Linked DNA regions of Neodiprion lecontei. The protein of the gene in region 1 interacts with the protein of each later gene in a pairwise test. Links are inferred from orthologs where the notes say so. Each region holds a gene or a part of one and is shown on either strand. Other genes may lie near its edges. The genes, in order: RING finger protein 11 and rab5 GDP/GTP exchange factor.

Region 1 (10,033 bases):
CCGAACGGAGCTTGGTTTCTCTTCTTCAAAGGAAGATTGGAGCTGGTAAAAGGGAACGTCGAAGAAGCTGTACAGTGGTACACAAAATCGTGGAAGAGTCAGGCGATATGGCCCCAGTTCCACCATCTTTGTTACTGGGAATTGATGTGGGCTCACTGTCTGCAGAGGCAGTGGGACGACGCCTTAATTTACGCCAATCATTTGGAGGCTGAATCGAACTGGTCCAAAACTATATACATGTATCAAAAGGCGGCAATTCTAATGATGAAGAAGGATAGGGAAGACGAAAAGGCAAAAGATATGATCAGAGAATTGATGACTGAGGTGCCGATCCACAAGCAACGCATCGCCGGCAAATCGTTGCCGATGGAAAAATTCGTTATAAGAAAGGCAGGACGATTTTTCGCTCAGAATGAATCCCTGGTTTTACCTACTTTCGAGCTTCTTCTCGTTTGGAACATGTTCAAGGTGTTGGGAACTCGGCCTGACCTACTTTTGAATATATTCAAACTCGCCGAGGAAGAGGAGACTTCGTTGAAACTTCAACCGTTAGTATATTTAAACTACTTCAATAATTTTTTTCAATCACAGCCTTTCTTCGCTTATCTACGGACGAAATTTTACTATTCATTTCAAATTTTTTCTACAAAATATCGCAAATTCTTTCATCTTTTCCGACAAGATCTGATTACCAAGCGGACAACGAAGGTCTCATTTTGTTGCTGAAAGGAACTTGCCTGCGGCACATACGCAAACCCCTTCAGGCTGAAGAATGTTTGCGGAAGGTGTTGCGCCTCGATAAGCAAATCAAGGAAGATACTTATCTGCTTCCATTCGCAGCTGTTGAGCTCGCCTTACTAGCTAGGGATCAAGACAAGCCGCAGTTAGCCATTGCGCTTCTGGAGGATACAAAGTGCGTGTAATTTATACTACCCTGAGTTTAATTCAGTTCTGTTTTTTGTTTCTTTCCTCCGTTAAAAATGAAATTTAGTCACTGTTCCTTGTTTTTCACATTATTCTCTCATTTTCTTGCAGAAAAAACTACACGGGTTATTCTTTGGAGTCGAGACTTCACTTCAGAATCCATTCCGCTCTGCTTGAACTTACTGGTAAAAAACCTGAAGAAATTATAGGGGTTTCTGAAAACGGTAACAGCGAAGAGGAAACTGATGCTAGCACATCTACATATTTATAAACGTCCCTAATACACTAGAAGGTTGTTATTAAAAATTTATTCATCGATTATTATAACTGCAATTAACGATTGAAACTTCTCAATTCGTTAACTGCCGTACTATTAGTGTAAGATTACTGATACTATCGATTAATTTGATAATCTTCCACTTGTTTTCCGTCGGTTGATGTTTATCCAACTTATTCTCTCTATACTCATAATTCTCTCTTATAACAGAATTGGTGATATTCTTTGGCTAGCAAGAACGATTGAAGAAAGTATACTAAGGAAAGAAATGCAGGTTGAAGCAAAATCCGCGTAGATGCGATGTACATGGAGATACATATTTCCCCGAGATAGTTGAAGGCTTTTAGGCGTAGATTTCGTGGGAACTTTGTAAAAGTTTTATGACCGATGGGGCAAACATATGCCAGATGTGTTGCATGTACAAATACAGTTAGAATATAATTAATTCTAAATATGTAGAAAAAAGTGGTAAATAGCTGTAATTTAAATTAAATTCAACAGTTCGTTATTAATTTACAGAAAAAAATATAAGTGAACAATAGAATAGTTCGTACTTGTTCCTACACACAAGAAAAAAAAAGCCTAAGTTTCGCCTCAACCTTGAGCTAAATATTATAATGTAATTACTATAAGTTAGTTTTTGGTGTAACAGGATGTGGTTTTCTAGATTTTGGTATCTATTTTCTGCAGCTAACGGAATCGCTGATTATTTATTTTACACAGATAAAAGAGAAAAATTAGTTATTTATTCAATTTATTAGTTTTGTTATTGTTATGCCGTTTCAATTTTATGTAGGTGTCGGATCTTCATAACGTTTATGCAATCTTTTTTTTTTGCAATGTTAATCTAGTTTATTTACAGAATTATTTACTCCAAATAATTGGAATGTTAAACGACGATGTTTTTCTATTAATTCTACGAAGAGTAAATCGATCTCAAATATTTGAACGGACAAATAACATCGTCAATATATCTTCAGCTGAGGTTGTTTTTGTAAGATATTTTTCTATTAATTCTTCGTACAGTAAATCGTTCCCAAATAATTTAAGAAACAAACAACATCACTAATACATCTCCAACTGAGAAATATGGACGATTATTCAATTAACAATTGTTAGATAATTAGATGCGCATTGAAGCCGTGATCGTGAGAATAGCGAATTTGAATATCGCGATCTCCAAACGATCCTTTATGAATATAAATATATAATGAATGTGAGAAAAAATTTTTGTACACGAAACGAAATATTTTTCTAGAGAATGTTTAGGTAGAATAATTTAATAATTTAATAGATTCTTAGAGATGTATTTATTGCTATACATATGGATCCCTGATACGCATTGAATGCGTATTACTTGTTGTGATCTCGTATAAATTATATATGCAAATTTTATTGGGTCACTGTACGTTCGTTATTATAAAACAATATTGAAGATATCTTTATGACCATTGTTATTATTGTTATTATTAGCATTTTTTCCTTTATTCTTCGTTTAATGCAACTTAATTTTTATGTTGAATAGTTCTTACTTTACAAACTCCTCGCAAGGTAAAAATGATCAAAAAGGTCTTGAAGTATCGATATGTGAGAATTTTGTGTGATGGATCAAAGAAATTTAAGGAGATAGAACAAGAGCAAGGAAATCAGGCTTTTTGCAGAGAGTAAGGAAACCATTGTATGAAGTATTACAAATTTTATTTTACTTTCTCGAATTCCGTTTCATCTTCCTTTCAAACAGTCAAACAGCTTTTGAAACCTTTTGAAACACGCTTAAAGGCTGCAAAAATTGCAAATAATAAATTCGGGGCAATAATAAATAAATTAAGCACAAAAAAGAATGAGTAACATAAAGTGAAAGGATTAAAGTATATTCATCACAATGCAAATCACAATTATAGATGAATTTGAATGGAACTTGACGTTTAAGGAACAAAAGAATTACAACCAAAGATGATATATATATATGCATGTGTGTATGTATGTATGCATATATGTATGTGTAGATGGAATTTATTATTACCTTCTCTCAATTTACGAATATCACGTATGCATTTATTATATACACACATGATTTATTATAACGTCTTTTACAGGTATTTTTATTACCAAATTATATACTCGAAGATATTCATTATTACTATTATTGTTGTTGGTATTACCAGTATTATCAGATTTAACCCCATTTATTTAAAAATATATATGTATATAATTTTATATATAATTTTTTATTTATTAGCAAGCTATAATATAGCTATTTCAAAAGTTTATAGTAATTTTTACTATTCTATTATATTTAGGTCAGTACGATACTATGTTTTGTTATTTATACAGTATGTAATTTGACGGCATCTACTCTATACATACTTATGTGTAATATTTATCTACTTTCTTACGTAAGAAAAATTTCGTTCTTCGTAATGATGTCGCACTTTTTTTACTTTTTTTTTTTTTTTCTTTGTGTTTTTAATTTCAAGTAATTATTAGTGTCTAGTCCAATAATAAACGTTCGATCAATTATAGTTTACAAATTAGAAACCGAAAAAAAAAAAAACATAAACTAATATTAAATAAAAACGATAATACGTATAGCACCAGAATTCAATAACTAATCACAAATTAATTCGGGTCACAGAATGCAGCTTATTATAATTACAATTACACTTGATTAGGATACACATTGTTGTAAAAAATTTAATTTATTACAGAATCCTGTTTCAACATAAATTTCTTACTAATTAATCACCTTTTTTTTTTCTCTTTTTTCATTTTGTTTCCTCCCTAAATCATGCTAGCGGTAGTAGTTACGTTAATAAAACGATGTACAAAAGGCTGTCGATTCGCCTCTTGAAATTTAGTTTAAAAATATCACCTATGTATACACCATCTTGATATCTTAGCCTAATGCATATTTGCTCTCCATTGTTATTATTATTATTATTATTATTATCACTATCATAATCAAGGAAATATTATATCATATTCTATTTCATCAATATTATGCATACATGCTAAGCCTTTGCCAGTTACATTTTCCGTTTCAGAGATATAAAGACGATATCCTGAGTCTTAAATCGATTTTTAATACGAATTAATATTATTTACTATCTAGTATTGAACTTCCTATGTTACATTTATTATTTTCCGTAACAATATACTTTAATAACTGCCACTTGTGAACTGATATTAATATACTTTGGGTAGAGTAAAAAAAAGAATCGGAAATCCAAGCGTGATGTATCGATATAATTTGAGGCAAAATACCAAGTTTGTTCATTTTTCTTTTAACATTCCATTCTAACATCTCTAACATATCCGTGCACACATGTGCATACGATTTAATGCAAATTTCAACCACGACGCGCAATTGCTTTTTACATACCATGTCTGACTTTGGATTCAAATCGTGATCATTATTGAAAATCATATTGCTTACAAACTTTTCCTTACCATTAGCAATAGTTACTAAGAGGAGAGAAAAAAAAAAAGAAAAAAAATGCACCTATAGGATTTACATCCGCAATACTCAAGTTTCATATTGTAACACTAAGTAGATTAAGCTTATTCCAATATCTATCGAAAAACGTTACTCGCATAGAAGTTATCAATCGCTCGTCACGTACCAATAAAAAGTTATTGAACATATTTACTTGTATGGAATTTTCGTTTCAGAAGTTACGTATAATGGTTTAAACTCCCTTCTATGTGTAAATATATGACCTTCTTTTACTTAAACAATTCATTTGTTGATTGTTATAGTTGTTACAGCTGTTATCAAAATTACCTTAGGCAAGTAGAAATGATAAAAATGCACTGACCTTAAAGCTTGCAGTTAAAACCAATGATTCTTAAAGAGAATTTACTTCAACAATATAAGTGCAGTCCCTTTCCATTTTGACAGTCTATTTGCCGTGCTCCCTGACATCTCGATGTTACGATTGAAGAGAGAATGAAAAAAAAATAGTTTTGCCTCGCAAGTAATTTTTGTATTAAGTTGTAGCGTAGTAAGAATTAATGAGGGCTGCGTCGACCGGTTCCATGCAAGAAGGACACGTTAAAGAGCGTAACAACCAGTCGTCTATGCATACCGCGTGATAAGTATGCATACAAGGGAGATAACGAACCTCCTCGCCAGTAATTAACTCCATCATGCATATAACGCACTCTCCTTTTTTTGAACCGTCGTATTCGCCAGTGGGTAAATGCTGGATCAGTCCGATGCGTTTGGCAATTCTAACTTGTTGTTCTTCCTCGCTAAAACCGACACTACCGATCGGATTCATGCCGACTGTTCCTCGTCCCATTCCAAGCTCGGTCAACTGCTGATGACGGTCTCTTGTTCCCATCGGCGGATAGTAAGCGCTCGCTATCTCCTGTAAGTTAAGAAGATATTTTTCTAAATCAGTACTTTCAAACGACTTTATGAAACAATGAAGAAGTCCATTAATTGTTCTATAGAATTGAATAGAATTGAAACAAAGTATGAACAGATGAAATTAAGTTTATAATTGACGTCTAGGGTGACCTTGAGACTATATGATCCACGAAGCCAAGAATTGTATTTATCGAATCTGGATGATCAAGAAGTAAACTAAAATTACATTGTAAGGTGGCGGAGGGCCAAGAGCCTCCTGGGAGGCACCGCCGGTCAACGCAGGATCAGGGCTGTTGTTTAGCAGTGTCGTGTTGTCCTGTTGACCGCCTCCACTGCATTTTAAGCAGTTGCCCATATTGATAAATTATTTATTAGTGTACTTTGTATTAAATAAAAAAATAACGACCCGTTCCTTCTTGTATTTTTATTATTACTTGGCTGTTAAATTTAGGCACTGCTTTTCTTTCTTCTACCTTAACTGCTCCGTTTGGCGAGCGACGTGCTTCTTCGCTTTGTTAACGTCAAGAGAGAAAACAACATTTATGAGTCAGTGACTCCTCCGTGACGTTATCGCAATCTAAAAAGTGTGTTCTCGGTTACGGTAAAGCTAGATCACGCTTTCGAGCCTCCATTATTATTATTTCTCAGTTTTACGATGTAACCAGTTTACGGACATTGTTCATGGTTTTACTTTTGTTTCTACGTTTCCGACGAGCAGCTACTCCGCGTTCCTACCAAGTTTTTACCCTGTTCACCCGATTCCGATGAATTATTTGACTGTTAACACACTCTCAAACCACTCTGCCTGTGTATAACATGCACGTATCTTCTCTGTGCCTCTGACGATTGTTGTGACTACGACATCTTCTGTCACATACGAATTACGAATTACGAACCACAGCTGGTCAAGCTGGGCTTCCAATCGACCATTGACCTAACATCACTATCAAGGTGAACAAGTTCACGTTTGACAAAGCTACGCGCACGGTGATCAGTGTCTAAAGACGTGTTTACATGGTGCTAGAAATCGGACCGATTTCTCGGACCGAGAAAAAGTTACCAGAACTTGTATCGTGTATACAGCAAACTCGGACGTAAATCGTGGATCGAAAACGCGGATGAAAAAATGGATCGCGTCCCATTATTCATCCGCGTTTTCAATCCACGATTTACGTCCGAGTTTGGTGTATACACGATACGAGTTCTGGTAACTTTTTCTCGGTCCGAGAAATCGGTCCGATTTCTAGCACCATGTAAACACGTCTTTACAATTAGATCATACACTACTGGAGGGAGCTACCCATCCCAAAAAATGTATCCAAAGTAACAAGAGAGAAGGATGTATATTAGGGTCAATCTCTTTCTCTCACTCTGCATTTGATTGGCTAAAGAGGAAACGCATCAGTGGATCAGGTGGTGTGGAGCGATTGAAATAGATTATAACCAACATATACCCTCCTCTCTCTCTCTTTCTCTTTCTCTCTCTCTCGCTCTCACTGGCCAGCTACACTTGATGTACACATGTAAGAGAGTTACAGTCGAAAAATGCAAACTTTCCTTTGTAATTCCTCTCCTGTTGGTCCTACACTATTTTTGATGTTTTTTTGCATTCCCCAGAGTCCAATTAGTGGAAAACGAGTCCTGCAAAACGATTCTGAGACGAAAAGTTTCCAAGCTCTAAAAATTGCATGAAAGACAGGTCTTCCACGTTTCAGTCGAGTTTGAATCAGAGTTGACGCCGTTTTCAAAATTTCTGTACGTGGCAGGACGCTGCGGACACCTAACATGACGAATTCGTTCATGGAAACCCGGTCTAAGGGACTAGCAGAGAAAACGGCGCGAAGAATTTTTCGTCTTCCGTACTGTCCGTAACAAGGTCTTGTGATACAGTATTACGCCATACATGTGTGAGTGTATATAAATACTTGAAGTATTTTTATAACTGCACAATAGTAATTAACCACCTTTCGCGTTTACAAATGTGCTGTGAGTTGTGAATGTGCAGCTTTACGACGATATCGTAAGGTAACCTCAAAAGCAAACAAGGACAACAACCGATATTTAATTCATTGAAATTGGATAAGAAACATTCAGCGAAATGAGCATTGCGCCAATGGGAAACTTGCCGTAAGTTTTATACCTAGTCATTACAATTCTCCTAATCTAATTGATTATCATAATAATTAAACAACTTGTCGTTGCTCTCTTTTTATAGGTTAGATTCTATTGATCGGCCGGTTATATTTCCTTACAAAATCTATCAGCCACTGTCAGTAACTTCACCTTAAGTTCAAAGAAAATCTATTTTTTTCTTTATTGTCAACAATGATTAAATTGTCATTTACTACCTAGATTCTATCATCGAGTACAATCTATCTTAACCTCTGTCGATCTTTTATTTTATGTTGAAAAACGTTCTATGTTGCTGGATTGCTGCATTTAGTCTAAACATTACTATAATAATTATGTTTAATTTCTTCTTATATTCTGATTTCATTAATTTCAATTTTTAGGTACTGCAAAGGCTTGTGGTCTGTAATATCAGGGACTACTTGCCGGTGTGACAAGGCTCTGGTCAAAGATGAGATACAGAGCGCAACTGAGTTGCTCAAAAATGGTCTTGAATTTTTCAAACCTTATACCGAAGCTTCACTGAAAAAAGTTCAAGGCACAAATTCTCCACCGAGAATGTTCGCGATTATTTGTAAATTGTCGCCAATGCTGGTTAGTCCTTCCAAAATTAATAAATAACTTTTTTGCGAACAAATTAACTTGATTTTATACATGTTAAAAAGAACAATGGCTGATATTGATTAGAATACAATTCATGGACTGGTTGATCTGTTTTTAACATACATACTTTGCCATCTGAGGAAATAGTATAATAAGGACTAAAGATTACAAAATTTTTATTTTGCTATCAGAATTTAGATGCAACAATCGCTTGGGACCTTGTGTGTAACTTCATGTTGTACGAGTACCGAAACTGTGCAGAGACCTTTGCGTCACAATTGGCTGATGCAACATCAACAAAAGCATTAATTGAGGAGATCTGGGATTTTTATTATTCGGAGCGAGTGACGCTGATAAAATGTCTCAAGCTGATGGTAGAATATAAGGACAACAAGAGACATCCGCATAGGAACGAGTTTATGGAATTTTTTGATGAAGTCTTGCTAGGGAATTTATTGAAATCAGTTCAGAAGCAGATCGAAGCCTTAAAATTCATAAACACACCTGTTAGATCCCAGCTATTCAACGAAGAACAACTTCACAAACTGTACAATAACTGCCTAATTGAAATGCGAGAACTCCTGCACATTTTTACAATCATTTTAAATGACGTGCACGTTGCAGATACCGAATTTGTCAAAATTTACGGAAGCATAAGCGTGAGATATACTTCAAACTGTAAAATTAGCTTGAATATTATGTATCGATAATAATAAAAGAAGGAACGATATGTTATAGGGAGAACCCAGGCGCTTGATAAGTTCAAAAAGCCACGAAGACAAAGCAGCAATATCAAAAAAACTGGGTCAAATACAATTCAGTCAAACTGCGTTGCTTCTCGTTGGACTGGATGTAATGAAACAGTAAGTTGTTTATCAAGAAAATTGAATCAAGACAGGAATAGATGCGACAGTACTATAAAATTAATAATTATTGTTTAAATTTCAGCAGCGGAATGGAGGACTGGATTCGAGGCGTGCGAAGTAACATGCAAGACACTTTTGAGCACAAGTGCGTCCGCGATAGTACGCCGCAAGATGGACCTCTGCTCTTGGCTTGGATGCTCACAAACTATGCTATCGAGTCAGATAATCTAGATACGTTGAACAATTTTCGGCCTTTCGGTATCAGGGCTATACAGCTGAACGTGTTCTACTATCTTCAAGATTTACTGGACAGTGAAATGATTCGAGAAGATACTCAATACTCCGTGATAGTCCGGAGTAGCGTTTATAATTTGCTCACTCTTCTCTGCTCGTTTATCGAGGAGGACAGGATCAGTCAGCTACCGGGGGTCTTCAACGCAACAGCATCCGTGCTGAGGTATCCAGAAACTGCTGCACGATTCTGGAACGAACGGGACGACGCTTTGTGGATCTTGTACAAACTTGCCATTGATTGTTTTCCACACAAATTTGAACCTCTCACAGCCATCGCGACTGGCTTGGCTGAGGCTGGAACTAAGAGTGCAGAAAAGGTACTTTTGAGCAAGATGGCAGAGCGTCATTTTCTTCACCAACAAAAACATGATGTTTGATCGGAACATTTGTCTTGTCTTGTTTCAGCTGATGTCACAACTGGATAACATTGATTCAATAACATTGGAAATTCCTCGATTTCAAGATACGAATATGGAGTTCCGTCCCTATGAGCGAGAGTGCATTATTCACCATAACTCGTTCCGAATTCCGAGCCAATCTAGGAATAGCACGTTAGAAATGGAG
Region 2 (9,816 bases), on another chromosome or scaffold:
TGTTCACTTTTCTTAAGACTCTATAATACATGGTATTCATTTCAAATATAAATATTACCTTTTTTATGTCGATCCACTGAGATAGAAAAAAATTCAATCACTCAAAGATGCTCCTTCCAATGTCGAAGAGTGAACTCAAATGACGATTGATCGTAGATACAGGATTTTTGTGAGTGAGAAAACCGAGGCTGTGACCTATTACTTATTATTTTCATTTTGTATTAGTATTCCATAATTTTATGTACAATTGACTGCTGAACTCTTCGAATCGCAAAAATATGATAGAAACAATTGTAGAGTAATGGAATTCTGACGGTTTTCCGTTTTGCTGCCTAAAAAGATAATCAGTTATCACTTTAATATTATATTATGTTTATATGATTTCGGAATGTGAATTGTATAGATGTAGACCATAAAATTGTACAAAATATGCCACACATATGAGCTTTATGAATCCAACATGTGGATGTTATAATTTATATATATATATATTTTTTTTTTATTTATTCAACGCATAAACATTGAGATTGACGTTACCGATTAAAAAAGTTTTGAAGATTTCCATGTATTGCATCTATGGAACGCCTTAAAAATTTTGGATGTAAATCTATAATTTATTCCAAATTACTAAACGGAACGATTCAAATCATGTGTTTCAAACGATTTTTATTGCATATAATTTTTTTCTCAGTTGTTACTGAAAAGTTACTCAATACTCGATTGATATTCAAATTATTTTATATACTCTCCGTTTATCAAGAATTAATGCGTTCAATCCAATGTATTATACATATAAGTAGTTAAATTTACTTGAGCGAAAATGTGTTTGAGAAAGTATAAATACATAAAATTCATGGTTAAAATTTTACCAAATTGTAAATTTGAAAATAACATGGTATAGAATGCTTAAATCCACTATGCATAAGTGGAGAAATATTAATTCCTGATTTAAGTAGAAACTTGTTACGATAAAAAAATTCAGTTGCAGTCAGGCACATTGTAGTTCTTGTGATGAAATTTACATCAATAGATGTAAACGTAATTAAGTGCAATGTATAATCATAGAAGCAAGTCTACCTATATTTTAGCCGACTGTAGCAGTTTCTAGGTACAAAATAGTGTGTGACATTATTTAATTAATAAGCGCAACTTTAGGAAATGCTTGTTGCACATAATTCCAGCAGTGTTTGGATCAAATATAAATGAGACAGGAGTATTTATATGTACGATAAGACCTTCGTCTCATTTATATTTCATTTGGCATCCCCAGTTCGTTTTGCCCAGTAAACTTGTGTAGATATAGAAAGTAGATAGACGCGAATGGGCATATTCTATACTCGACGAAGGTATAGAAAATACTATAGATTTTTAATGTAAAAGTAGTAACTTTCTACGAAAGTGTAAAACAAGGCTTATTGTACTTTATTCGTTACGTTATGTAATTATTTTTCTATTCACCGACTACTGTTAAAAATGAATCAATATCTTGTAATACTATTTATAATTAGATAGATTGATAACCTAATGAAACAGGGTAGATTTTAGTGATAATGCGATTACATAGATCTTGTAGGTATTTTTTTTAGTATGAACTCTAGATATTCAAATATGTTATTGCAGAATACTGAAATTCTTCGCTCGTTTTATAACTCTGTAACACTTTATTGTGTCTTTATTACACTTTGAGGATATTATAGATATGGAATTTTCATTCATTACTCTGCAATAATATAGTATACTTTTTCACTGATTGCAATACTTTTGTAACTTTTATATAAGATTCAGTTTTACTTACCGGCAATCAGTTGGTAGTTGAGATGAGAATAAATATGAATATATAAAAATTATAACACACTAACACTAACACTAACACTGTCTACACTCTCTGGCATAAAGACTTATTTCTTATGTATCAACGATGATATTATGTTTGATAATTGTAAATATTGTAAGTTCACCAATTAAAAAATAAACTCAAACTGCATTAAAAATATTTGACACACTTTAACGGGCTTTGTGAAAAAATGTGAAACTTATACCGAAAACAGAACTTTAACTGATATTAGGTAATAAAATGGTTCTATAACAGAATTTCTCCAAGTACAAACTTATTTGTATCATTGGCTTTCAATAATTAAGAAAATCTTTGCGTGAGGTAGCACATATTTTTCACATTCCAAACACACTTCTTTAGGTTTCTGTACAATCATAGTTTAACAAATAGTTTATATATATTTAACTTTTGTCACGTTTATAATCCGGTAACTAGCTGCCCGTAAGAGATTAAAAAATTTGAATTCTAATCAGACTTTGAGACCAAATATGTAATTGATATCAGTTAGTCAATGTGATGTACAAAAAAAAAAAACACGATTTGCACAATTCACTAATTCAATGTTGCTATATATCATACTAACAATAAATTCTGCCGAAATTCTGTATTCCAACCACATGTATTGACTTTATACTTCATTTTTGGTTTACACCACTATAAATAAATTTCATACGATACGTGAATTTATTTGTACAGGCCTTAAAATTATTTTCATACACTCTTTGTATACCCATGTATAGTGAATATAAGTTTCGATTAAAAGTGCCAATTACAATAACCAATATTAGTTTTCGTTATAATTCTAATGAAAATATATTTTTTACCTCATATCAAGACAAATTCATTTAAATATATATTATTGTTAGTCAGGATGGACCTATCGGATTAAAAGAAAAATGATGACTGACACAATTCGCTCACTTAGTCTAGTGCAGTATCTCTGAAATCAAATTGAGTGTGAGTGACAAAGGTTGATCGTTAAACCGATATGAAAATAATTAATGTTTACAAATGACTACCACCTAGTTGATTATAATTGAATTTATTAAAGTACGGCATTAGCAATTATATATTCATATAAGTTTGGAATATCAGTTTTTTTGACATGCACTGAAATTGTGATGTATATAAAAATGTGGTCAACTCACAAATTGGAGAAAATGATGACAACTGTAGCTACAAAATGGTAAATATTTATATCTAAATTCAGATTATAGCCTACTTACATGATGATCTACTCCAGAATGTATACTGATCACTTTTGATGCAGTGTCTTGGTAACGTAGCACCTACTTGTCATTTTTTCACTTTTCACTGTAGCAGAATCTATAAGATAATTGTAAGCATAGCAGTGCAAATATCCTAGCTTGAAACCTATAGTTTTTAATCCAGCATCTGATTTGTAAGTTATATTAGAAATATTGCTGATTTCATTGGATCTTGAATAACAAAGCGATAATCTCAGACGTTACCTCGCCATCGATACAAGACACGATCCAATCCTTCGAAGCTGACTAGATAAGATGCAAGTTACATCTTAATTCCTGCATACTACTGTATACATACCTATATGTATGTGTATATATACCTATATGTATGTGTATATATATCTATATGTATGGTATGTATGAATGTGCATATCTAGATATATATGTTATGGTTGAAATTAATCAAGTGTATGTTTAAATTGCAAATCGTTCAAATGTTGTGAAAGTAGCCAGAATAGTTATCTGCCTCCAAGTCCGAAGTGTTGTGAGAAAGATCACCAGTGTTGCACGGGATCGTGGGAATGTTAGAACCTTGGATTGAGAATCCATGGTAATCTTCACGTAGAGAACAAACTGGTTTTAGAGGCGATGGTAAATTAGTGCCCGATGCTTGCGATTCGTCTAGCAAACTATCAGAGGCGTCTCTGTCTTGTAGATACGATTCTTCTGCTGTAAGATCGCATTGTGTATCCAAGCTAATTAGGCTGGTATCGTCATCCCCTTTACTTCCATGCAAACCACCATCTGAGTCAAAGGCTGGGAAATCAAAAGTTGGAGATGGTGTTATGCAATCCTCGATCGAAGGTCCGTTGTAATCACCAACGTGAGATGTCAGTGTTTCATTTGTTTCGTCGTTCAGGGTTTGAGGGTAAATCTGTGGATGAATACTGCGATAAAGTAATGTTGTGAGGATTAAAAAGTATTCGCAAATAGAAAGTAAGTTCACAGAAATTTTCAGCATTTCATATTACAGATATAAGTTGATATTAAATTTGGAACAAATGATTTTACATCAATATTTTGTACTTGTGGTATAATTGGTGGTGGTAGCTGGTAGCTCTCTGCATCAACGCAGTCAAGATTAGTCGGTATCCTTTGACTCGGCGTGATAATAAGGGGAGTGCGAGTTATCGCAGCGTCAACTTCCGCCTCAACTTTTTCTGGGAATTGTTGCATTTTTTTCTTAAGCTCATCGGATTCTGCTATGATTTCCAAATTTTTCGCTTTCAATTCATCCAGCAGTGTTATGTGTTCGCACATCAGGTGTATACTCTAAATTATAAAAATCTGTAAGCTATGAGAGTGTTGGAATTATTCTTCAACGATGTATTCATCATTACCTCGCACATAGTGAGAGCAGATTCCCATGTGCTCGCTGGAACGCGTGCTCCTGACATATATGCATCGAAATCTTTCTGAGGCATGTTTAATGACTCGGCAGTAAGATTTTCTATGAAGGATACTGCGCAACACTGGAACAAAATTGGGAATAAAATTTCTTGAAGGCATGGATTTCAGCAAATTTTATATTCATTGCTTTGAGTTGTGCGGTTCTTCGTAGCCCAGAGTAGAACTAATACCAAATTTGTGAAGTAGTAACCTCCTTCACCAGTCATTAATCTGCTAGCATTACAGAATCGGGTGATGAAATTTATGTTGCTTTTCAATCTTGCAGGATTAGCTTTCAGCACAATGAATATAAGCGCCGGTAAAAATTCATCGGCTGAAGCTGGACCCCCAACAGATTGTTGCAGTAGTACAAATATATTTCTACAACAATGAACAACACAGGCAAGCTTCTCTTGCGGTGCTTTTACAGAGTCCATATTTAATAAATCTGAAACAATTGTTACTATGTTACATTTATGTGAAATTAATCAGACCGATTGAGCTTTGAAGTTTGATTGTTTTACCTGTTATTGAGGTGTAAACAAGCTCTCTCACGTCAGAACTAGTTTCGTGGATTCGACACTCCAGATTCTTTCCGCTCACCCAATTCAACTGCCGTATTCTAAAATTTCCTGATTGATTAGAAAAATTCTCGAGCTTGATTCATAAATCAAATTAATCTTGACCAGATTTGATTGGTTTAGAAAGATGTTACTGACTGAGCATATTTTTCACCTTATCTGTTTCCATCCATTCTCTGAATTGGAAAACTGAGATGTTACCTGTTTTGAATAGCAAGGTCCTTGTCCTCATCTGTAGTTGATGGCGGGCAGAAAAGTATCCTATAGAGTAAGGTCATAGTGTATCTTTCGATGTAGTCTAGTAGTCGATCTTTTGTTTCTGGAGAAACATCTAAAAATTAATAATAATAGAGATTACTGCAGTTCTGTGAATATCCTACGCATGAATAACCAAGAGTGCAATATTACCTGCATAATTGGGACTGTTTTCCATTCGCTTGGCAAATACTTGATAGAAGTTCTGAGTTAGTTCGGATAGCTCCTCAACGCTCTTAATATCCTTCATTTGTAAGATGTTGTTTACGAAGGAATGAATACACTTTCGTACATCTTTCTCAGCCGGAGTCTTAGCGATCTGTACCAGAAGGTCACGGGTCTCCGATTTCACTTTGTCAAGTTCAGGATTATCCTTAACCAGCTCCTGCCATATCTCGCTAAAACCTTGAGCTTAAATAAGGAATATTTCCATCATGACGTTTCACATCTTATCAAAATGAATGACAGGAAAGAATGGAAACACCAAAACTTTACCAGTTGTCTAGAAGTATATTATTATGGTTGTTATTATATAATTAGGTTTCTGCTTTAGTTGAAAGATCGATGAAACGTAATTAAGAATGATGTATCATAGAATGAAAATAAAATGTGAGACATTAAAATAAGGACATACTTTTCGTTGCGGTCTTGCGAAAGACTGACAGCTTTAATAGTTTAGTTTTCTTTTCTTGCTGTCGCTTCTTTTCTTCAAATTTGTAAAAACCGTGCACGGTAGTCTTAGAGCTTGAATCACTGAAAAAATGTAAATATATAACGCAGTTCGAACAATTATTCGTTACCAGTAATATTGACCTAATCAATAAAGGGCTTATCAATAGAAAGTAGTGTCGGTAGTTATACCTGGAATGATTCATTTGATTGATAGCATGTTACAATGTGTCAGTGAATTGTTGCACTGGTATAATAAATACCTTTCGTGAATGCGGGCGTGTTCTCTTTGAGCCCGTTGCTTTTGCAAATGTTCTCTGTGACATTTGCTACAGTAGCCTTGCCATTCTTCGTTTCCAAAATATCCACAACCATTTTTGCACTTTAAATCGGCCTCGTCAATGCGGAGAGTCGGCGTCTTGATCGAGTACATGTCGATAATTGGAGAGTAAAACTCCAACTGGGTGCAGTAAGTTTTCAAATTTGGTTACTTAACGCATTTGCGTAATAAGCGAAATGCAAACAATTGAACCCCTACCTACGAGGAGAACATAACCTCTTCACGTGAGCTGTCAAAAATCGACTGTCCGTCACAAGCACGTCAGAAGAGTCTAACTACGGCAAAGATAAGTTGAGAAATGACCAACGCCCCCAAAAACCTGGTTTACGAAATTAAACTGAACTACGTCTCTGCGTGGCGCAGTGTGAATAGAGTAGTAGCGCGACATTATCTGAAGCGTGCGTCGCGGTCGGTAACAGAATATCGATTTCGGCACGCTGCAGATAATGTCGTGCTATTAATTTATTTACATTGCTCCGAGCAAGGCCGTAGTTTGGTTTAATTTTGTCAAACGTCTTTTGGAGGCGCTGGTCATCTCGCAACTCATCTTTGATTCTTCTTCTGCTTCCTTGTGAAACTCATGTGAAGTGAGTCAATATTCATGAATGGTGTACAAAGTTGACCACCCTCTCTGTGTAAAATGCAGTTGAAGTTCTATGTCAATTCTAAGCACTGAACTATACCAACAAGAAGTCAATACTTGAAACGCCATCTGCAATAAGAGCGACATTCGCGTTTCCATAGCAACCGCGTCATACGAAATTTCGAGCGAAGGCTTGACGTTTCAATGAACGTTGTGGTCAGTGTATAAGGAATCCTTAATTAATTACAATGCAAATGGCAAGAAATGATCAACATACAGCATCCAAGGGTTGTCACTAAGCCCCCGATTAGTAACTTTGCCATGTCCGATAACGGAATGGCACATGGCTTGCCCATGCAGAGGTGCAATTCCGCAGAAGACCGCGTACGGAATTCAAACCCGTCAAGATTCTGCGAAACTAACGGAGGACTGGATTCCAAAAAAGGCGAATACCTGAAAGAAGCAGAGACCCATCCCAATCAGATTAATGCTATGATTGAAAACATTGGATACGACTTAAAAAAGCTGCAAACTACTAGTGATTTTAATCAGAATGTCATCGAGCCAAATTCTTGCTCCTTCGATCAGCTTTGCTCGATGATCAATGATTTGGAAAAAAATTTATCTGGAAATGAAGCACAACTGAATATCGATTCAAATACTACTGGAAGTTTTGTCAATAACGAAGGGGGCCACTTTTATGGAAACGATCAAGACTATTCCATCAATCAGGCAAGTATCGATTGCTCGAGAAAATATCTTGTATTTCCAGAATTTAGAGCGCTTAAACACTGCTGCTAGCTTTTACACCTTTTGATCACAATTTCTTCCCCAATTAGCTTCAACCGGAGAAAGATTACTCCAATCAATCATGCGGGTCTTCTCTGTCAACTTACGAGGACATCATGTCCCTGTTAGGGATTTTGAACCACGAAGGTAAAATATGCGACTCTGACAGTGATGGTATAAGGTATGACGGGAATACTGCAACTCTTTAGCTGTTGAATTTTTACATTTCTTTCTAGGATACCTAGAAGATGTTCCAAACAATCGAGCTTACGCGCATTCAAAGATTATTGAAGCAACACTGAATAGTCGATCTATTCCATACTGTAACAATCAAGGGTAAGATTGGTCATCAAAAATTTGTATGAATTTGTGTTTTTAGCATATGCATTGTATAGTATTTCATATGGAGGCAGTGCTATTTGCGAGTGCAAAGATTTTCGCACCGAGGTGTGATTTGTGTGAATCCCGTTGGTAATGTTTTATGTTTCTTGCAGAATTCATCCCGCACAAACCCATATACCTGAAACGATAAAGGACGATTTAGCGACTCTTAGGTTGCAATTGGAAGAACGGGATGAGACTTTAAAAATTTTAAAAAATGAATTAAAATCACAAAGGCATTCTGCTTGCGAGAAGCTAGAATTGCAAAAAAAGCAGCATTGCACTGAGCTGCAGACTCAGAAGACAAAATATCAGACGACGATAAAGAGGCATCAGAAATTTATCGAGCAAATAATATCAGATAAGAAAAATTTGACTGAGAAATGCAACTCCTTGACTGAGCATATCAAAGAAATGGAAGTGAAATATCATCGGGAGTTAAAAGTTGTGGCTGATAGACACGCGGTGGAACTCCGACGAGCTAGAGAACTTTGTGCCGCTTCTGAAAAGATCAGACGCGAACGTTGGCTAGAAGCAAAAACTTCTAAAATAAAGGTGCTAATCAGATGTACGCTTGTGGAACAACTAACTTTTATCTCACAATCAATATATAAACATGTGTTGGTAAAAAAATGTTAGTATCGAATCTCTAGTCAAATTGTTCCATTTTACTTGTTCAGGAAATGACTGTGAAGGGGCTAGAGCCAGAACTGCGAAGTATGGTAGAGCAGCATCAGCAGGAGCTTCAAGAAATACGCAGTGCTCACATCAAAGAGCTTCAGGATACCGAGCTGCGGACAATTCGCCGCTCAAATCAACAGCTGGAGCAGTTGCGTCTTGAGCTAACTGCGAGCCATGAAAAGTTATTGAGTAGCGAAAAAGATATTCTCAGAACAAGGTACAATGTATGTTCAGACATCACGCAGCTTACTTAGATACCAATAAAAGATTCCGTCTGATAACATTCACAGGTATCAGGAGAAACTAGAACAGCAAGAGAATTTATTTCAAGAACAGCGGCGCAAACTGCTGGACGATCTTGAACGTGAAAAAAATCTGCTAGCTCAAGAACATAAACGACTCAATGCTGAGAGAGATGCTGCGATAAGTCAAGCACGTTCACAATTCAATGTACGTTCAGGTCATACTGAAACTAATAATGACTTATACCAAGCAACGATGCATGAGAATAATAACGGGAACCCAATCGTTTACAGGAAAAAATCAATACTTTAATACGACAGCATCAGATCGAGAAAAAAGCTGTTCAAGAATCACTTAGGGTCGAACAAGAGACATGGATGGAAAACTGCAGGAGACAGCACAATATGAAATTAGAAAAAATGGAAACACGGCTGAGAGATGAGTGCAATCGAGAGCGTGACAGACAAATAGAACTGGCTATTGAAAGGCTCGAGAAGGAAACTCTTGACATGAAAACTAGTCTTCAGCAAAGTTCGGAAAACCGGCTCAGGTACTAAATGTGCCCATTCATACACGTTGATTGTTACCCACTTTAAATAACTTTTAAAATTGTTCAAGATGTATGAAAGAAAAATATGAGGCAGAGCTACAAGACTTGAATAACAGCAAAGAATTGCTGACAAGTAAAGTGACCTCCGTGCAGGAACGCCTCACAGAGACTACGACGCAGCTTCAAATAACTGAGGGAAAACTTCAGCAGTGTATGATCCAGCTAAGTAATTCTAAACAGGTATGAGGTGTAA

The links.
Region 2: the proteins of RING finger protein 11 (region 1) and rab5 GDP/GTP exchange factor interact in binary tests that used the Homo sapiens proteins (3 or more experiments, as listed by UniProt). The link is inferred for Neodiprion lecontei from reciprocal best matches to the Homo sapiens genes RNF11 and RABGEF1.

Annotation. Positions count from the first base shown.
Region 1 is NC_060264.1:30,665,422-30,675,454, forward strand, and holds RING finger protein 11, read right to left. Parts: upstream 6,597-10,033; 5' UTR 5,932-6,596; coding exon 5,803-5,931; intron 5,575-5,802; coding exon 5,191-5,574; 3' UTR 2,041-5,190; downstream 1-2,040. Other genes in the region: tetratricopeptide repeat protein 39B, read left to right, coding at 1-548, 683-913, 1,036-1,195; nucleoporin Nup188, read left to right, coding at 7,675-7,703, 8,090-8,300, 8,501-8,968, 9,048-9,172, 9,258-9,786, 9,875-10,033. UniProt on the Homo sapiens protein: Essential component of a ubiquitin-editing protein complex, comprising also TNFAIP3, ITCH and TAX1BP1, that ensures the transient nature of inflammatory signaling pathways. Promotes the association of TNFAIP3 to RIPK1 after TNF stimulation.
Region 2 is NC_060261.1:2,396,877-2,406,692, reverse strand, and holds rab5 GDP/GTP exchange factor, read right to left. Parts: upstream 6,650-9,816; 5' UTR 6,535-6,649; exon of another isoform or gene 6,457-6,534; 5' UTR 6,430-6,456; coding exon 6,260-6,429; intron 6,081-6,259; coding exon 5,962-6,080; intron 5,739-5,961; coding exon 5,481-5,738; intron 5,404-5,480; coding exon 5,274-5,403; intron 5,114-5,273; coding exon 5,016-5,113; intron 4,940-5,015; coding exon 4,683-4,939; intron 4,575-4,682; coding exon 4,443-4,574; intron 4,375-4,442; coding exon 4,114-4,374; intron 3,977-4,113; coding exon 3,533-3,976; 3' UTR 2,435-3,532; downstream 1-2,434. Other genes in the region: centrosomal protein of 131 kDa, read left to right, coding at 7,184-7,651, 7,759-7,855, 7,945-8,044, 8,203-8,644, 8,770-8,987, 9,061-9,220, 9,307-9,563, 9,632-9,803. UniProt on the Homo sapiens protein: Rab effector protein acting as linker between gamma-adaptin, RAB4A or RAB5A. Involved in endocytic membrane fusion and membrane trafficking of recycling endosomes. Stimulates nucleotide exchange on RAB5A. Can act as a ubiquitin ligase.